2 linked regions of the Arabidopsis thaliana genome follow. The protein of the gene in region 1 purifies or fractionates together with the protein of each later gene. This does not show direct contact. Each region holds a gene or a part of one and is shown on either strand. Other genes may lie near its edges.

What was found. Proteins that work in one complex are often made in the same cells at the same time.
Region 2: the proteins of PREP2 (region 1) and AT3G62510 fractionate together in Arabidopsis thaliana (co-fractionation; one large-scale study listed by BioGRID). This does not show direct contact.

What each region holds. Positions count from the first base shown.
Region 1 is NC_003070.9:18,368,998-18,377,419, reverse strand, and holds the start of PREP2 (presequence protease 2), read left to right. Parts: upstream 1-1,925; 5' UTR 1,926-2,083; coding exon 2,084-2,372; intron 2,373-2,659; coding exon 2,660-2,828; intron 2,829-3,122; coding exon 3,123-3,297; intron 3,298-3,385; coding exon 3,386-3,518; intron 3,519-3,535; exon of another isoform or gene 3,536-3,620; coding exon of another isoform or gene 3,621-3,636; coding exon 3,637-3,707; intron 3,708-4,078; coding exon 4,079-4,162; intron 4,163-4,293; coding exon 4,294-4,384; intron 4,385-4,500; coding exon 4,501-5,021; intron 5,022-5,101; coding exon 5,102-5,266; intron 5,267-5,339; coding exon 5,340-5,558; intron 5,559-5,636; coding exon 5,637-5,764; intron 5,765-6,436; coding exon 6,437-6,626; intron 6,627-7,209; coding exon 7,210-7,293; intron 7,294-7,372; coding exon 7,373-7,470; intron 7,471-7,629; coding exon 7,630-7,894; intron 7,895-7,999; coding exon 8,000-8,162; intron 8,163-8,263; coding exon 8,264-8,422. Other genes in the region: AT1G49650 (alpha/beta-Hydrolases superfamily protein), read left to right, coding at 1-57; AT1G49640 (alpha/beta-Hydrolases superfamily protein), read left to right, coding at 776-1,723. UniProt on the Arabidopsis thaliana protein: ATP-independent protease that degrades both mitochondrial and chloroplastic transit peptides after their cleavage. Also degrades other unstructured peptides. Specific for peptides in the range of 10 to 65 residues.
Region 2 is NC_003074.8:23,119,513-23,126,180, forward strand, and holds AT3G62510 (disulfide isomerase-like protein), read left to right. Parts: upstream 1-3,318; 5' UTR 3,319-3,340; exon of another isoform or gene 3,341-3,676; intron 3,677-3,823; 5' UTR 3,824-3,825; coding exon 3,826-3,948; intron 3,949-4,043; coding exon 4,044-4,262; 3' UTR 4,263-4,279; downstream 4,280-6,668. Other genes in the region: AT3G62499 (YTH family protein), read left to right, coding at 407-637; AT3G62500 (F-box protein RMF), read left to right, coding at 911-1,442, 1,649-1,765, 1,840-1,872, 1,985-2,155, 2,255-2,362, 2,460-2,529, 2,617-2,682, 2,768-2,854 and 1 more.

The DNA.
Region 1 (8,422 bases):
AGTTCTGAAAATGCTCCCAGCTTCATGAAGAGATTTGTGGAGTTTATCACTGGTTAACATTGTTCTTTGTGTGACACGAATAAATTTTGATGTAACCTTTGAATTTGATTTGGTTCTCTATATAATTATGGTTAAGGAATTAAATACAGGAATGACTCGGTTGTGACTATATGAGATTTGTGGTCTAATATTTTATTTTATTTTTTGTTGCTGACAAATAGTAACACAATTTAGTTTCAAATACGTTTTATGCATATACATGTATCATAACAAACCTCAAATTGTCATTGAATTGGGTTCAAAGGAATAGATGTACAGTTTGACAAAAAAAAAAAGAAAAGGAATAGATGTACAATGTTATTGATCTAATTTGTGGCTATTAGTTATTACAGGCTCAGAATCAAGAAGGTAACGACTGGTGCATGCATATGTATACAAGTACTCACAAGATGGATTGAGGTCGGGTTATTGTCTGGATACATTTGTAATAAGAGTTTTTGGTTATACACCATCGGGTCCACCTCTAGTCTGATTAATATCCAAATATGGAAAGCAATATTGGTTAAGCAACTTGTGATTTTATCATTTTGCTAAAAATAACTAATGATTTGTTAGCAAAAGTAACTTATGATCATATCAAATTTAACCAAACCAGTTCATATCAAGCTGTGTACTTGTCAGGGTTTGATTGGATGAATCAGTGTATACTCATACATATAGTAAACTCACATACATATTACTCTGTTTCTGTTCTTCACTCTCTTTTCCAAAGAAGATGGAATCTGATCTAACCACAGAGCATCATCTACCATTCATCCGAATTCATAAGAACGGCCGAGTCGAGCGGCTTAGCGGCAACGACATCAAACCAACGTCTTTAAACCCACAAAACGATGTCGTTTCGAAAGACGTCATGTACTCATCGGACCACAACCTCTCCGTCCGTATGTTTCTCCCCAACAAATCTAGAAAACTCGACACCGCCGGTAACAAAATACCTCTACTCATCTACTTTCACGGCGGAGCTTACATCATACAATCTCCTTTCTCTCCGGTTTACCATAACTACCTCACGGAGGTTGTTATAACCGCTAACTGCCTAGCCGTGTCGGTTCAGTACCGTCTTGCGCCAGAGCATCCGGTTCCGGCGGCTTACGACGATTCATGGTCTGCGATTCAGTGGATCTTTTCTCATTCTGATGATTGGATTAATGAATACGCTGATTTCGACAGAGTTTTTATCGCCGGAGATAGTGCCGGAGCCAATATATCGCATCACATGGGAATAAGAGCTGGTAAGGAGAAGCTTAGCCCTACAATCAAAGGGATTGTTATGGTGCATCCAGGTTTTTGGGGGAAAGAACCGATCGACGAACACGATGTACAAGACGGAGAAGTCAGAAACAAGATCGCATATATTTGGGAAAATATCGTTAGCCCGAATAGTGTTGATGGAGTGAATGATCCGTGGTTTAATGTTGTTGGATCCGGATCGGATGTTTCCGAGATGGGATGTGAAAAGGTTTTGGTTGCGGTTGCCGGAAAAGATGTGTTTTGGCGGCAAGGATTGGCTTATGCGGCGAAGCTGGAGAAGAGTCAGTGGAAAGGAAGTGTTGAGGTGATTGAGGAAGAAGAGGAAGGACACTGCTTCCATCTCCATAACCATAATTCTCAAAATGCTTCGAAATTGATGCAGAAGTTTTTGGAGTTTATCATAAGTTGAATCTTGATGCTCAAGTATGGTATTAGATGACATAATCCTTTTATATAATCATATTGTTAACTTTAATAATAATTTATGATTTTAATCGTCAAATTTCGGAGAGTTGAACATACAAATAACTTATGATTTTAATCTCTAATTGCTGTGAATTTGTGTATCAAACTCCTGTATATTCGATAAATCATTCGTATAAGATTGTTCGGCCATATCAATAACCGGTTAGGTCCATACACATAGATTTCGAAATTTGCACCTCCGGTTTAAATTTTCGAACCGAACCGCTTTAAAACTCCTCGCGGTCGGATTAAACTATTCGCATCCTTAAGCACAGTCTTTGCCGGAGAAAATATTCCGGTAGCCATGCTCCGGTCATTAACTTGTTCCTCGACCATTACTTCGACCTCTCTCTTCTTCCGCTCTTTCCGCCAGCTCCCTCGCTCTTACTTGTCTCCCTCATCGTCAACGACCGTCGTCGGTGCCTCCGGCCGCAACATTCGCCGGCTTTCTACTCTAGAAGCTGCTGGGAGACGGCTATTTCTACGACGAGGCTTGAAACTACTCTCCGCCGCGAGTCGTGGTCTCAATGGACAGTTCTCTCGCTTATCTATTCGCGCCGTCGCTACACAATCCGCACCTTCTTCTTATCCCGGTGAGATAATCAAACTCTTTAGCTGGAATTGAATCTGTACTCTTTCTCTGTAAAATTTCAAATGTTTCTATTTTCCGAGTAGTTTCTAGATTCAGAGTGTTTCTCGTTGGTGAAATTTGTGTTTAGTTGATGTTACTTTACTCCACAAACACTCTCTTATAGAGAAATTTCCTTGGGCTTTTGATCAAATTGACACTATACCTGCGTTAGGATAAAATGGAACATTTTCTTCTCATATTTGATTTATGTTTTTGGTTAAATAGTGTTCTGATGAGAGTCAAATGTAGGTCAAGATGAGGCTGAGAAGCTTGGATTTGAGAAAGTCTCTGAAGAGTTTATCTCAGAGTGTAAATCTAAGGCTGTTCTCTTCAAACACAAGAAAACTGGTTGCGAGGTGATGTCTGTTTCTAACGATGATGAGAACAAGGTGTTTGGCATTGTTTTCAGGACTCCTCCGTAAGTGTGTTCTAGAACACATGAATCTGTCCTACTAGTTTATCTTTAGTATAGGTGACTTGGAAATTTATGTTCATCTCGGTGATTTCTTAACGGTTTGTAAGAAATTTGTGGTATATGAGGCTTCGTTCTTGGATTATAGTCGAGTGAGTGAAATTGTAGCATATCAAGGTCAAAAATTAGCCAATGTTGAATAGTTTTGCACTTTCAGTTGGAATAGGTACCACGAGCTAGCGAAAATTGTAAGTGGAAGTGGTTGACAGTGGTTTGATAAAAGTTTGGTTCTTGATGCAGGAAGGATTCCACTGGCATTCCTCACATACTGGAACATAGCGTATTATGTGGGTCAAGAAAGTACCCGATGAAAGAACCATTTGTCGAATTATTAAAGGGAAGTTTGCATACTTTCCTAAACGCATTCACATATCCTGATAGGACTTGTTACCCAGTTGCTTCCACAAATAAAAAGGTAATAATATATAAATACTCTTTTCTTCCCCAACCACTGTCATATATTCAAGTTTGGTCTGATCACATTTCATCACTATCTATGCTAGGATTTCTACAATCTTGTCGATGTATACTTGGACGCTGTATTCTTCCCCAAGTGTGTGGATGATGTTCACACTTTTCAGCAGGAGGGTTGGCATTATGAGCTTAACGATCCTTCAGAGGACATATCTTACAAAGGTTCTATTTATTACATATGCCTAGTTTAAAAGCTTGTTTGTTTTTATCTTTCCGTTTGTTGAACCTCTAATCTATTAACTTACTCTCCCTGTCTCTTTTTTGATGTTTCACATATCAGGCGTTGTTTTTAATGAGATGAAAGGTGTCTATTCACAGCCTGATAATATACTAGGGCGGGTTACTCAACAGGCAAGTTTTGATTGTTCCTTAATTTTCTTGAATTATTCGTCCACAATCTATTTCTAAGAATGAATTTCTGTAAATGTTTTGAGTGGATGTGCAGTGTCTAAAAATTTAGCTTTGTTAATTTTTGATGTTTTATAGCTTATCTGATTAAATGTGTGTGTGTGTGTGTGTGTGTATAGAGATATTTATCTTTGCATGTACGCGTCTGCATTTAATAGTTTGTTGGTTTCGTATTAATAATTGAAGTTTCTCACAAAACAATACTTCAACATCTGCTCCTGAAGTCTTTGTTAGATAATCTGCTTTCATTATTCTTTGGTACAGTGTGGTGCTTATGGAACACACTTGTTTTCTCTTCTATTTTCTTTTAATAGGCATTATGTCCAGAAAATACATACGGTGTTGACAGTGGAGGTGATCCAAAAGATATCCCCAAGCTTACGTTCGAGAAATTTAAGGTTTGTTAAGTACGTCATGTGATATAATTAAACGTTGAAATAATATGATATTATCTTGCGACAAAAGCGTAATACTCTGTATGTTATGATCTCCGATGCATATTTATTGTTCTTCATGTGAAAAATTCCAGGAGTTCCACCGTCAGTATTATCACCCTAGCAATGCCAGGATATGGTTCTATGGAGATGACGATCCAGTTCACCGCCTTCGCGTCTTGAGTGGTAAAGAGCCATATCTTAAATTGTACTTTCTGTTGGGGCATTTCCTTTTCTTGATCTATGTTCGCCATTATGTTATTGTTTTACAGATTTTGTCTCTATTTTACTAATTTGTGCAGAATACTTGGACATGTTTGATGCAAGTCCAGCTCGAGATAGTTCAAAGGTTGAACCACAAAAGCTTTTCTCTAGACCTCGTAGGATTGTTGAAAAATACCCTGCTGGTGAAGATGGTGACCTTAAGAAGAAGCATATGGTGTGCCTTAACTGGCTTCTCTCTGACAAGCCACTGGACTTACAAACTCAACTCGCACTTGGGTTTTTGGATCATCTAATGCTTGGGACTCCTGCCTCCCCATTGAGAAAAATCTTATTGGAAAGCGGTTTAGGAGAAGCTCTTGTTAATAGTGGGATGGAAGATGAACTTCTCCAGCCCCAATTCAGTATAGGTTTGAAAGGTGTTTCCGATGATAATGTCCAAAAAGTTGAAGAGTTGGTCATGAATACTCTGAGAAAGTTGGCAGATGAGGGGTTTGACACTGATGCTGTTGAAGCATCCATGAATACCATTGAGTTTTCTCTGAGAGAAAACAATACAGGGTCGTCCCCTCGTGGTTTATCACTTATGCTTCAATCAATTGTGAGTTTATCTGCCTTTTTCTTTGGTTTGTCTTATCTAATATATTTGTATAGTTTCTTATTTTAGTGTTGGATGTTTAGGCGAAATGGATATACGACATGGATCCTTTTGAGCCATTAAAGTATGAGGAACCATTGAAGTCCCTGAAAGCTAGAATAGCTGAGAAAGGATCCAAGTCTGTCTTTTCTCCGCTGATAGAGGAGTATATTTTGAACAACCCTCATTGTGTTACTATAGAGATGCAGGTATTTTTTGTCTCCGAGTTTCTCATTGCTGTCTAATGTTTCTATAATCTTATGCCCAAAACACGTTTGTCAGCCTGATCCAGAAAAAGCTTCTCTAGAGGAAGCGGAGGAGAAAAGTATTCTAGAAAAAGTTAAAGCAAGTATGACAGAAGAGGATCTTACAGAACTAGCGCGTGCCACAGAGGAGTTGAGATTGAAGCAAGAGACTCCTGACCCTCCTGACGCACTGAAATGCGTTCCAAGTTTAAATTTGAGTGACATTCCAAAAGAACCTATATATGTTCCCACTGAGGTGATGATTATATTAGCTCTCTGCTGTTGTTGGATTCCTTTTAATTTCTCAGCTTGATGCTGATATGGTGCTTTATAGGTTGGAGATATTAATGGCGTGAAGGTGTTGCGGAATGATCTCTTTACAAATAATATACTCTACACTGAAGTAGTCTTTGATATGGGCTCAGTAAAGCATGAGCTTCTTCAACTGATACCCCTCTTCTGGTAACTTGTTGACTTCTACATCTGATGATTTAACCGTAAGACTTTATATTCTGCTTTTGGTTATTCACCTAATTTTTCCAGAAATGCAAATGGTGAAAATATTTAATGAAGAATACTGCTACAAAAAAATTCCAAGCATTCCCTGTTCTCCTGATTGAATCTCTAACCAAATCACAATTTCGGATGTCTGACGTAGTTTTAAGCATTTAGAATAACATATAGCTTGGTTTTTGTCCGAGGGAGTGTCCATGTCTATTTTACTATTCTTGACTTTTACTTAAGTGTTCTCAACAACACTCAGTTGAAATGCTATGTCAAAAGGCAGCTTTCAAGCCTCCTGCTATAGTGTCATGATCTGTTATACTATTTCTTAGTTGCATTTTAGTTATAGCAGTATCAAGGTCGATTTCCAGTTACATACTCTTACTAACATTTGCTTCCAATTTCACTGTCAATTTTCTTAGTAGCTTCATTACACTTTTCTCTTGTCTCACACTAGACATTCGCATGCTATGTTCTTAATCTTCCGTAGATTTGACCAACGATTGTTTCCAGTTGGGGTTTATTACTGAGTATCCTATTCATAATCTTTTCCGTCAGTATAAGCCAGTGGGATACCCTATGCTAAATTCGTTTTAACTTTTAACTCCTATATAATTTCTGTTTTGACAGTCAATCATTACTAGAGATGGGCACGCAAGATTTGACTTTTGTACAACTTAATCAGTTAATTGGAAGAAAGACAGGAGGGATATCAGTTTATCCCCTTACATCCTCTGTGTATGGTAGGGATGATCCATGTAGCAAAATCATTGTGCGTGGAAAATCCATGGTTGGACGCGCTGAAGACCTTTTCAATTTGGTAATTTGCTTTAACTTATCACATTTAGCTGGAGATAACATACGTTGGGATAGTTAATTTAGAGTTTTCTAGCTGACAGATCAGGTTCTGCCTTGGTTCTCAAGATGTAGAGTGCAAGTTTAAACTTTTTGCCTCATGTCCTCTAACTATAGCCTTGTGGATAGCTCTTCTGTCCATCGGTTTATCAGAAAGCAAAACCTGTTTCTTTCATTTGTGTCTGCGTCTATGAAGTATCTCTTCTGTCTCCTGATCTCTTCCCTCTTAACGCAGAAATGCTCACTTTTTACCTCTCCCTATGCTCATGTCATTTGCTGAGCAGTATCTTATACTATATTTGTGTGTTCAAGTTAGAGTACAGAGGTACACTAGCCAATCGTTCGCTATTTGAAAACTGATTCTGTTAATTTTAGAGCTGAATTTTAGTATGAGCATATTCAAGAAATAATCCTAACTTTCGAGTTTAAAGTACAAAAAATGGAGACATAGAAATTAGCTGTAGTTTGAGATTCTTAAAATTCTAGTTAATTTCCTATAGAAGTTGTAGTTTGATTCTTATGTTTCATTCACTTTTGCCTTGCTGCAGATGAACTGTGTGCTGCAAGAGGTTCGATTTACCGATCAACAGCGGTTTAAACAATTCGTTTCTCAGAGTAGAGCACGAATGGAGGTATGCAGTTCCTTCTTCCTTTTGCATTCTTAATAGAAAACGGTGGTAGTAATATAACACCAACTCGTATTCATTTTAGAACCGATTGAGGGGAAGTGGTCAAGGAATTGCTGCTGCGAGGATGGATGCAATGTTGAACGTTGCTGGATGGATGTCTGAACAGATGGGTGGTCTCAGGTTGGAACTTGATCACTCTTTCTTTCATTGTTAGTTTTTACCATTTGTTTTGACCTCTTGATTTGATTGCATCTGTGGGAGAAGAAACTTAATTCATATTCTTAGTTTGATCTTATACTTATAGAGCCTAATAGAGTTTTGCTTTGATCTTTGTTGTAGTTACCTTGAATTTCTACACACTCTTGAACAGAAGGTGGATCAAGACTGGGAAGGAATTTCATCCTCACTTGAGGAAATCAGAAGATCTTTCCTTTCCAGGAATGGTTGCATAGTTAATATGACTGCTGATGGGAAGTCCCTCACAAACACGGAAAAATATGTTGGAAAATTTCTTGATTTACTCCCTGAAAATCCGTCTGGTGAACTCGTCACTTGGGATGCTCGACTTCCTTTGAGAAATGAAGCTATAGTAATACCAACCCAGGTAAATAAAATGAAAACCCTTCTATATATTTTGTGTCCTTTGGCGTGTATTTCTCTTCACCCGTCTTCTACTTACTCCACAATTCTATTCTTGCCTTTTTGACAGGTGAACTATGTGGGAAAAGCGGGAAATATATACAGCAGTGGCTACAAACTTGATGGGAGTTCATATGTTATATCAAAGCATATTAGTAACACATGGTTATGGGATCGTGTTCGTGTAAGTGGTGGTGCATATGGAGGTTCCTGTGATTTTGATTCACATTCGGGTAAACTGTTTTTCTTTTCCATTTTGATTTTGATCTGACAGAGTCTTCCCCAAGTTGCAAATTCTGCGTCAGACCTGACCTTTGGATTTTCTCTTGCACAGGAGTATTTTCGTTCTTATCTTACCGTGATCCCAACCTATTAAAGACTCTAGACATATATGATGGAACTGGGGATTTCTTACGTGGCCTCGATGTCGATGAAGACACCCTTACCAAAGCAATTATTGGGACAATTGGCGATGTCGATTCATACCAACTCC
Region 2 (6,668 bases), on another chromosome or scaffold:
TATACCTTTAGGAACCCAACCATTTGCACCCTAATATCATATGAATATTGACAACAAAGACTACATGAATTTAAAATTTTCAACTTGCAGAATTGTAAAGATGAGAATTTGCACTCGTTAATGACGTTCCTTTCTTTTTGAATCTTATTTTGTTAATTCTTTTTTTTCTATCTTTGATTTTTTGTATCTAAAAAATCTCTAAACGAAAACGTTGCATCTGATGTACCATAGTTTTTTCGAGTAAATTTTAAATTTTATTAAAAAAAAAATGAGAATTATTAGATAAACAAAGGTTCCGTGATATAAACCCAATTAATAAAAGAAACAACTTAGGCACAATATATAGCCTAAGAAGCTTTTTTAATTTTTTTTTTTAAAGAAGAAAAGAGAGAGAATTGTTCAATTGATGCGCGACGTCGGATTTGATGAAAAGGAAGTTTTCGACTTGGCGCCTACAACTACTTTTGTAGGCCTGAAAATTCACAGTCTTCCCTCATCAGAACACAATATCTTTCTCCTCCTCTTTTGTCTTCCTTCGCCGTCGATTTTAAGGTTTTATCTTCTCCGTAGTGAAAGCACTGATAATTTCTCCAAGGAATTTACGAGGAGGATTTGGTTTGTTTCTCCTGCGTGTTAGAGTTTTACGATTTCTCTGTCGTTTGATTTCTTAATTCTATCCTCTGAGAGAACGAGAATTTGGTTTTCGTTTTCGAATTTAGGGTTGAAGAAGCGGTTTCGCATTGGGTTTGTTGTCTATTGAGCCAATTTGCTAAAGGAATTGAAACGTTGCGAGTTTTTGTTTCCCGGAGGTCCGAAGTGCGAATCTGTTTTGTTTAATGAAATTAGGGGTTTGGAATCGGAATTTGAATAGTCGTTTATGTTGACTACGCGATAATAGCTGAGATAGGACATGATTTTGAAACGGATTTTGACGACATTCGATAATCTGAATCTGAAGCGGTGCAAAATTGATTTAGAAATTGAGTATGGTAGCCAAAAGGGTGAGATTATGGTGTATAAGAAGAGACAACGAGCAAGCGTTGATCAACCATGTAGCAGAGAACCCGGAGTTCTAACAAGTAGCTCAAGCTCCTTGACCAGTAGAGAAGAATCTCAACAAGTGTGCTCTGACCAGTCCAAGTCTTCGCGTGGCAGAGTTCGAGCGGTTCCTTCAAGGTTCAGGGACTCCATTGTTGGTACATGGAAATCCTTGAAGAGTCGCAAGGAAGAGTCGACGGAGACATGTATCTGGGGAAGCTCGAAATTGCATCGAAGCAAAGACCCGAAGCTGTTTCCACGTAAGGATAACGAAGACAGCAGCGAAGTAGATTGCGATTACTGGGATGCTAACTTTGGTATGCCGAAAAAGTCCGACGCCTCGCGTAAGGGCGTGTACAAACCAGAGGAATTTACAGTCGGCGATCTTGTCTGGGCCGGCTGTGGTACAAGCGCCTGATGGGGTCTTGAAACATTGCGTCCCTGGCGCAATACGTGTCATGTTTTTTGGGTACTCTAAATGGAAAAAAATTGTCAATTGTCAAAAAGTCGTGTTAAATATAGATGTATTGTACAGATCTTTGACTTTGAAGTACTTCATTTGCTGATCACAGCCTCATCTTTATCTGTTTTTTTTACACTGTAATTATAGATTGGATGCCGATTGGTGCCTTTGTGCTTGATTCTCGAACTTCACTCCTGACTGAGAGTTTGAGTGGTCGCCTGAAAGTCCCAAAGGAAGGAACCATAGAACGGATGTTACAAAAATGTCTTATTCATGATCTTCAGAAACTTTGTCAACTGCAGGAAAAACTGTAACATATGGCTTATCTCATTTTCCAGATTTACAGCTTGTGCGACCTGTTTGTGACCTCAGTACCTGTGAGGTAAAAGACACTAATCAACTCTAATCTGTTGCTGAAACTTTTGTATTGATCTCTTGCAATAACTAAATTGCAACTAAGAGTGTTTCTGTTTTACTATGTAGGAACAATGCAAACTCTTGATGCTAGGCACATTGAACTCTTCCTTAGTGAAGGCTACAAAGATGGAAGCTGGGACTACAATCTGATTGGATCTCATAAGTTGCAGAAAAACGCAAGTGCAGCTTGTGGAGCCATATTTGACCTCAAACACCATAAAGAATCTTCATCCTCAGGTAACTTCAAATCTTCATTACTGTTATGTTCCTTTACTTCTCCTCTTTGAATCATTCTCCTTTGTCTCATACAAATTTCACATGAAACCTCTATAATAGGTATTCTCAACCTCAAGTCTTGGACCGGACAGCCAGATATTTCCCAACCTAAAGCAGTTATCGCACCCCATGCAGTTGCTGTTCACACAAGATTGCGAGAAAACGAAGGTATATAACTTTGCATCATCAACCATCTTTATCTAGAAAACACAATTACAAATAATTCTCTTGCCAAAAGGAATTGAATCCAAATTTGTTGTTTCAGTTGCGGAAATCCAATCAGTATTGTGGCATTTGCAAGAGAGTATGGCAGCCCTTCAAATGATGGAGATTGGGTGAGAATATATGTGACCATGTTTGGTGAAATACAGACCTGTAAGAAATGATTACATCTATTTAGCTGACTTGATTTGATGTATTAGGTTTATTGTGATGAGTGTGATGTATGGCCGTATGGGTGCGACAATAATTTATATAAGCGCTTTAAGGTACACCTTCATGCATCTTAACTTTTGATTCTAAGTAATGAACACGCTTGTTGAACTATCACACTAATTTGGTTATCATCTTAAGGAACTGGAGCACAACAGTTACTATTGCCCTAACTGTAAAGTCCAGCATGAGCTTATCAATATTAGAAGAACAGAACTCAGTGTTCAAGTATATTGTTAACTTCTCATGTTCTCCTGATTTTATTGTTTGCATTTCTCCATTGCTATAATATGCGAGATTTCCTCACAACCTCTTTGGGATTGGTCTACAGAAAAGGCGACACAGACTGAGCTGCCTGATGAGATTAATGTAGTCTGTAATGGCATGGAAGGAACATATATCAGAGCATTTCATGCGTACGTATTAGATGTCTCAGCCTTATTTCAATTTCTTCATTTAGAAAGGATCTTATTTGTTTATGAATTATGACTATGCAGCACAATATCGTAAATTGATTTTTTCTCTGAAAACGATAAAAAATCCGTGTTTAATCCTAGGTTTCTGTTATCATTGTCTTGTTGTTTTAGAGATTTGACCAACACATTAATCTTTGAACTATTGTTTCAGAATTGAGTGCAAGTGTGGTTCATGTGGGTCAAGGAAGCAGTCACCAAGTGAATGGGAACGGCATACAGGCTGTAGATACTAGATAGCGTAAGAGTGAAAGACACAATGCTACCTCTAGAAAAATGGCTTTGCATGAAGACTTTGATACTATATGTATCTGTATATGTAGAAGAGTATCAGTTTTATCTAAATGACTAGTCTCCAAATTTGTGGTTTATTGATTTCGTCAGAATGGTAGGCTCTTTAACTGATTTAAGGTGAAAACTACATTGGTCTTTGTTCAGTGTTAGATTTGTCTTTTGTGGGTTTGGAATGGATTAAAGAGGAGTCTTTTACTGGATTTTGTTGAATGCTAGATTTGGGTTTAGTAAACAATGAATCCTTTACTGGTTTTGAAGGATGTTATATTTGAAACTGATTAGAGCTAAACCCTCTATTGCTTAGTGGTTCTTAATTTAAGGGTTTTGCCGCAGCTTCCCTAATTTAAGCTTGTTTTCTAATACAAAGTACAAAAGCAGTGTGTTCGTCAACTATCTTCTTACTCTGTTTTCGTTTAGAGAGTTTTTGCAGAGATGAGGAGAACTATAACAATGGTGATAAAGATGTCAATACTTATGATATTGATTTCATCAATGGTGATGAATATGGTCGAGGTTGAGGTTGACCAGATTGAATCATGGGTCAAGGACTTCCAGGTTTCATTCTCTTTTTCACACATTCACACAAGCTTTATGTAAAAGAAGTATATATGAAATCAATATAACCTAACCAAAGAAAATGTTTTCTCTAGGATGGAAAAGCTGCTGTCCACAAAAATTCTCAACCTATTCCAGCTGAGAACAACGAACCAGTGAAGCTTGTTGTCGCCGAGAGCCTTGACGACATAGTTCAGGTCAGCGAGCGGAAACGTTGTAGTATACGAAGGAGACAGGACAAAGGAAGACTTCATAGTTCAGGGTTGGTGATACTAGCAGAAGATGATGAGGAAGAACACGAAAAGATGGATTAGTTAAAGCTTCCAAAAACTGAATCAAAACAATCATTATTACATTAGTTTGTGGTTGTGGATTAGCAATGTTTAAGTAGTTTGATCTATCAATCTCCTGAATTTCTAGATTGCAGATATTTTATCTCATTTTGCTGTCTCACTTGATTCGTGGGTTATATTGCTTAATTTGATTTAAACTCTGTTTTGTGTGGTTACATAGGACTCTGTTTCGCCTGTGTATAGGAAGAGAGTAATGACGTTGAGTGTACAGAGTTGGAGAAGGGTTTCGAGAAAAAATTGTAATTCTTGAATTCGTCTCAGCTTGAGAATAGTGAGTCCATGGACTTTTACCGGATATGAGTTGTACAATGCAGAGACTGATCCCGAACTGAAAGCTGTTATGAGAGGACATGGGAAAAGCCATTGGCTTCGTTTGACCGGAAAGAATTTATGAGTAGTAAGTAGCATATCTAAAGTAAACGCCATGCAAACAAAGAAAACAATGATGAAGATATAAGAGCATCCACATTGGTGGGCTTTTAGCAAATGTTCTTAACAATAATTTTATAATTTATTTTGAAGTTAAGAGTTTTGATAAGAGTTTTTTTTTTTTAAGAGTGTATTTTGTCTCTTATATAAGAGCAAAATCTTAGGCCTGGGCATTTTAACCGAACCGAACCGAACCGACCCGACTCAACCGAACTCAAACCGATCCAAACCAAACCCAATCTAAGACTCAAACAATTCGGTTGTATTTTATCTCAACCCAAATGGGTCGGTTCGGTTCGGTTTTGAACCAAACCGAACCGACAACCCAATGTCTTTATATACTTAATTAATTAATTCTATAAATAATATTACAAATAACTCTAAATATTTATTTATCTCTAACTAAAACTCTAACCCTAAAAAGTAAAAACCTAAGGTTTACTTCTAACTTCGTTTCATTTGTTCTTCCGTCGTCTCTCTCTACTCTCTACAGCCACGGTATGATTTTTAACTACTCTCTAGCAATACAATTACGCTCATCTCAATTTTAGTTAAATATTATGAGTATATGATGATTTTTTCAATCTGTACGTACACCGCAAAGTCATGGAAAAGAAAAATCTGTGTTTGCGTTGTCTTGTTTCTTCTATTTACTTAGATTTTTTAATTTTTAAGAATAGGTTTCATGTAGGTTGGGTGATTTTGTTTGTTTACAATATATATAATATATTTTAGCATTCATACCAATAATCAATGGATTTTCGTGCAAGAAAACAGATCATACATGTTTATTTAGTTTACTAATAATGAAAGATGTTTTAATAGAAACGTAATTGTATTCTTTCAATTGACTAACAATTTTATACATGTTTTGTTTGTAGATGTCTAAAAGAAACACGACTAGCAATAAAAGAAAAGAACCCGAGTCTCCAACAGTGTCGCCAAAGGCAAAAAGAAAACTACCTACAAGATCAACAGCATGGAAAGTCTTTACGAGGTTGAAAGATGATGATAATAGTTGCTCATGCAATTATTGTGGTAAAATCTATTCATGTAATCCTGCTACATGTGGAACCAGCAATATGAACACACACATGAGAAAGTGCAAAGCTTATTTGGATCATCTTGAATCTAATTCTCAGAATGTCATAGTCTCTAGTGGTGGTGGTAATGGTGCTGGCATGATAAAACCTTTTGATCAAAACGTGTGTAGGCAAGCAACGGTGAAAATGATTATCATGGACGAGTTGTCGTTTTCTTTTGTGGAGAATGATGGGTTTAAACATTTTTGTGAGATGGCTGTCCCTTGGTTTACTATTCCATCGCGAAGAACAATTACTAGGGATGTTGTTGGTCTGTACAGAGCTGAAAAAACTGCATTGAAGACTATTTTAAGTCGTAATAGGCAGGCCATGTCGTTTACCACTGACATATGGACTTCTATTACGACATTGAGTTATATGGTCGTTACTGCTCATTTTATTGACATGGATTGGCAATTGCATAGAAGAATTATTAGTTTTAGTCCTATTCCTGATCATAAGGGAAAGACCATCGCCAATCAGTTTTTAAGATCTTTGGATGATTGGGGTATTGAGAAAGTATTTTCTATCACTGTGGATAACGCAAGCGCCAATGATAAAGCTAATACTGTTTTGAAAGAGAGGCTAAGTAACAGAAATAGTGATGCTTTGATGATGAATGGTGATTTTATGCACATACGTTGTGGTGCACACATTCTTAACTTGATTGCCAATGAAGGTCTTGAAGATATAAGTAATAGCATCGTAAGTGTTCGTAATGCTGTAAAATATGTGAGGACTTCTAATTCAAGGCTGGAATCATTTAAGCGTTGGGTGGAGGTTGAGAAGATAACAAGAGGAAGTGTGGTATTGGATTGTGTTACTAGGTGGAATTCTACCTACTTGATGTTGAAAA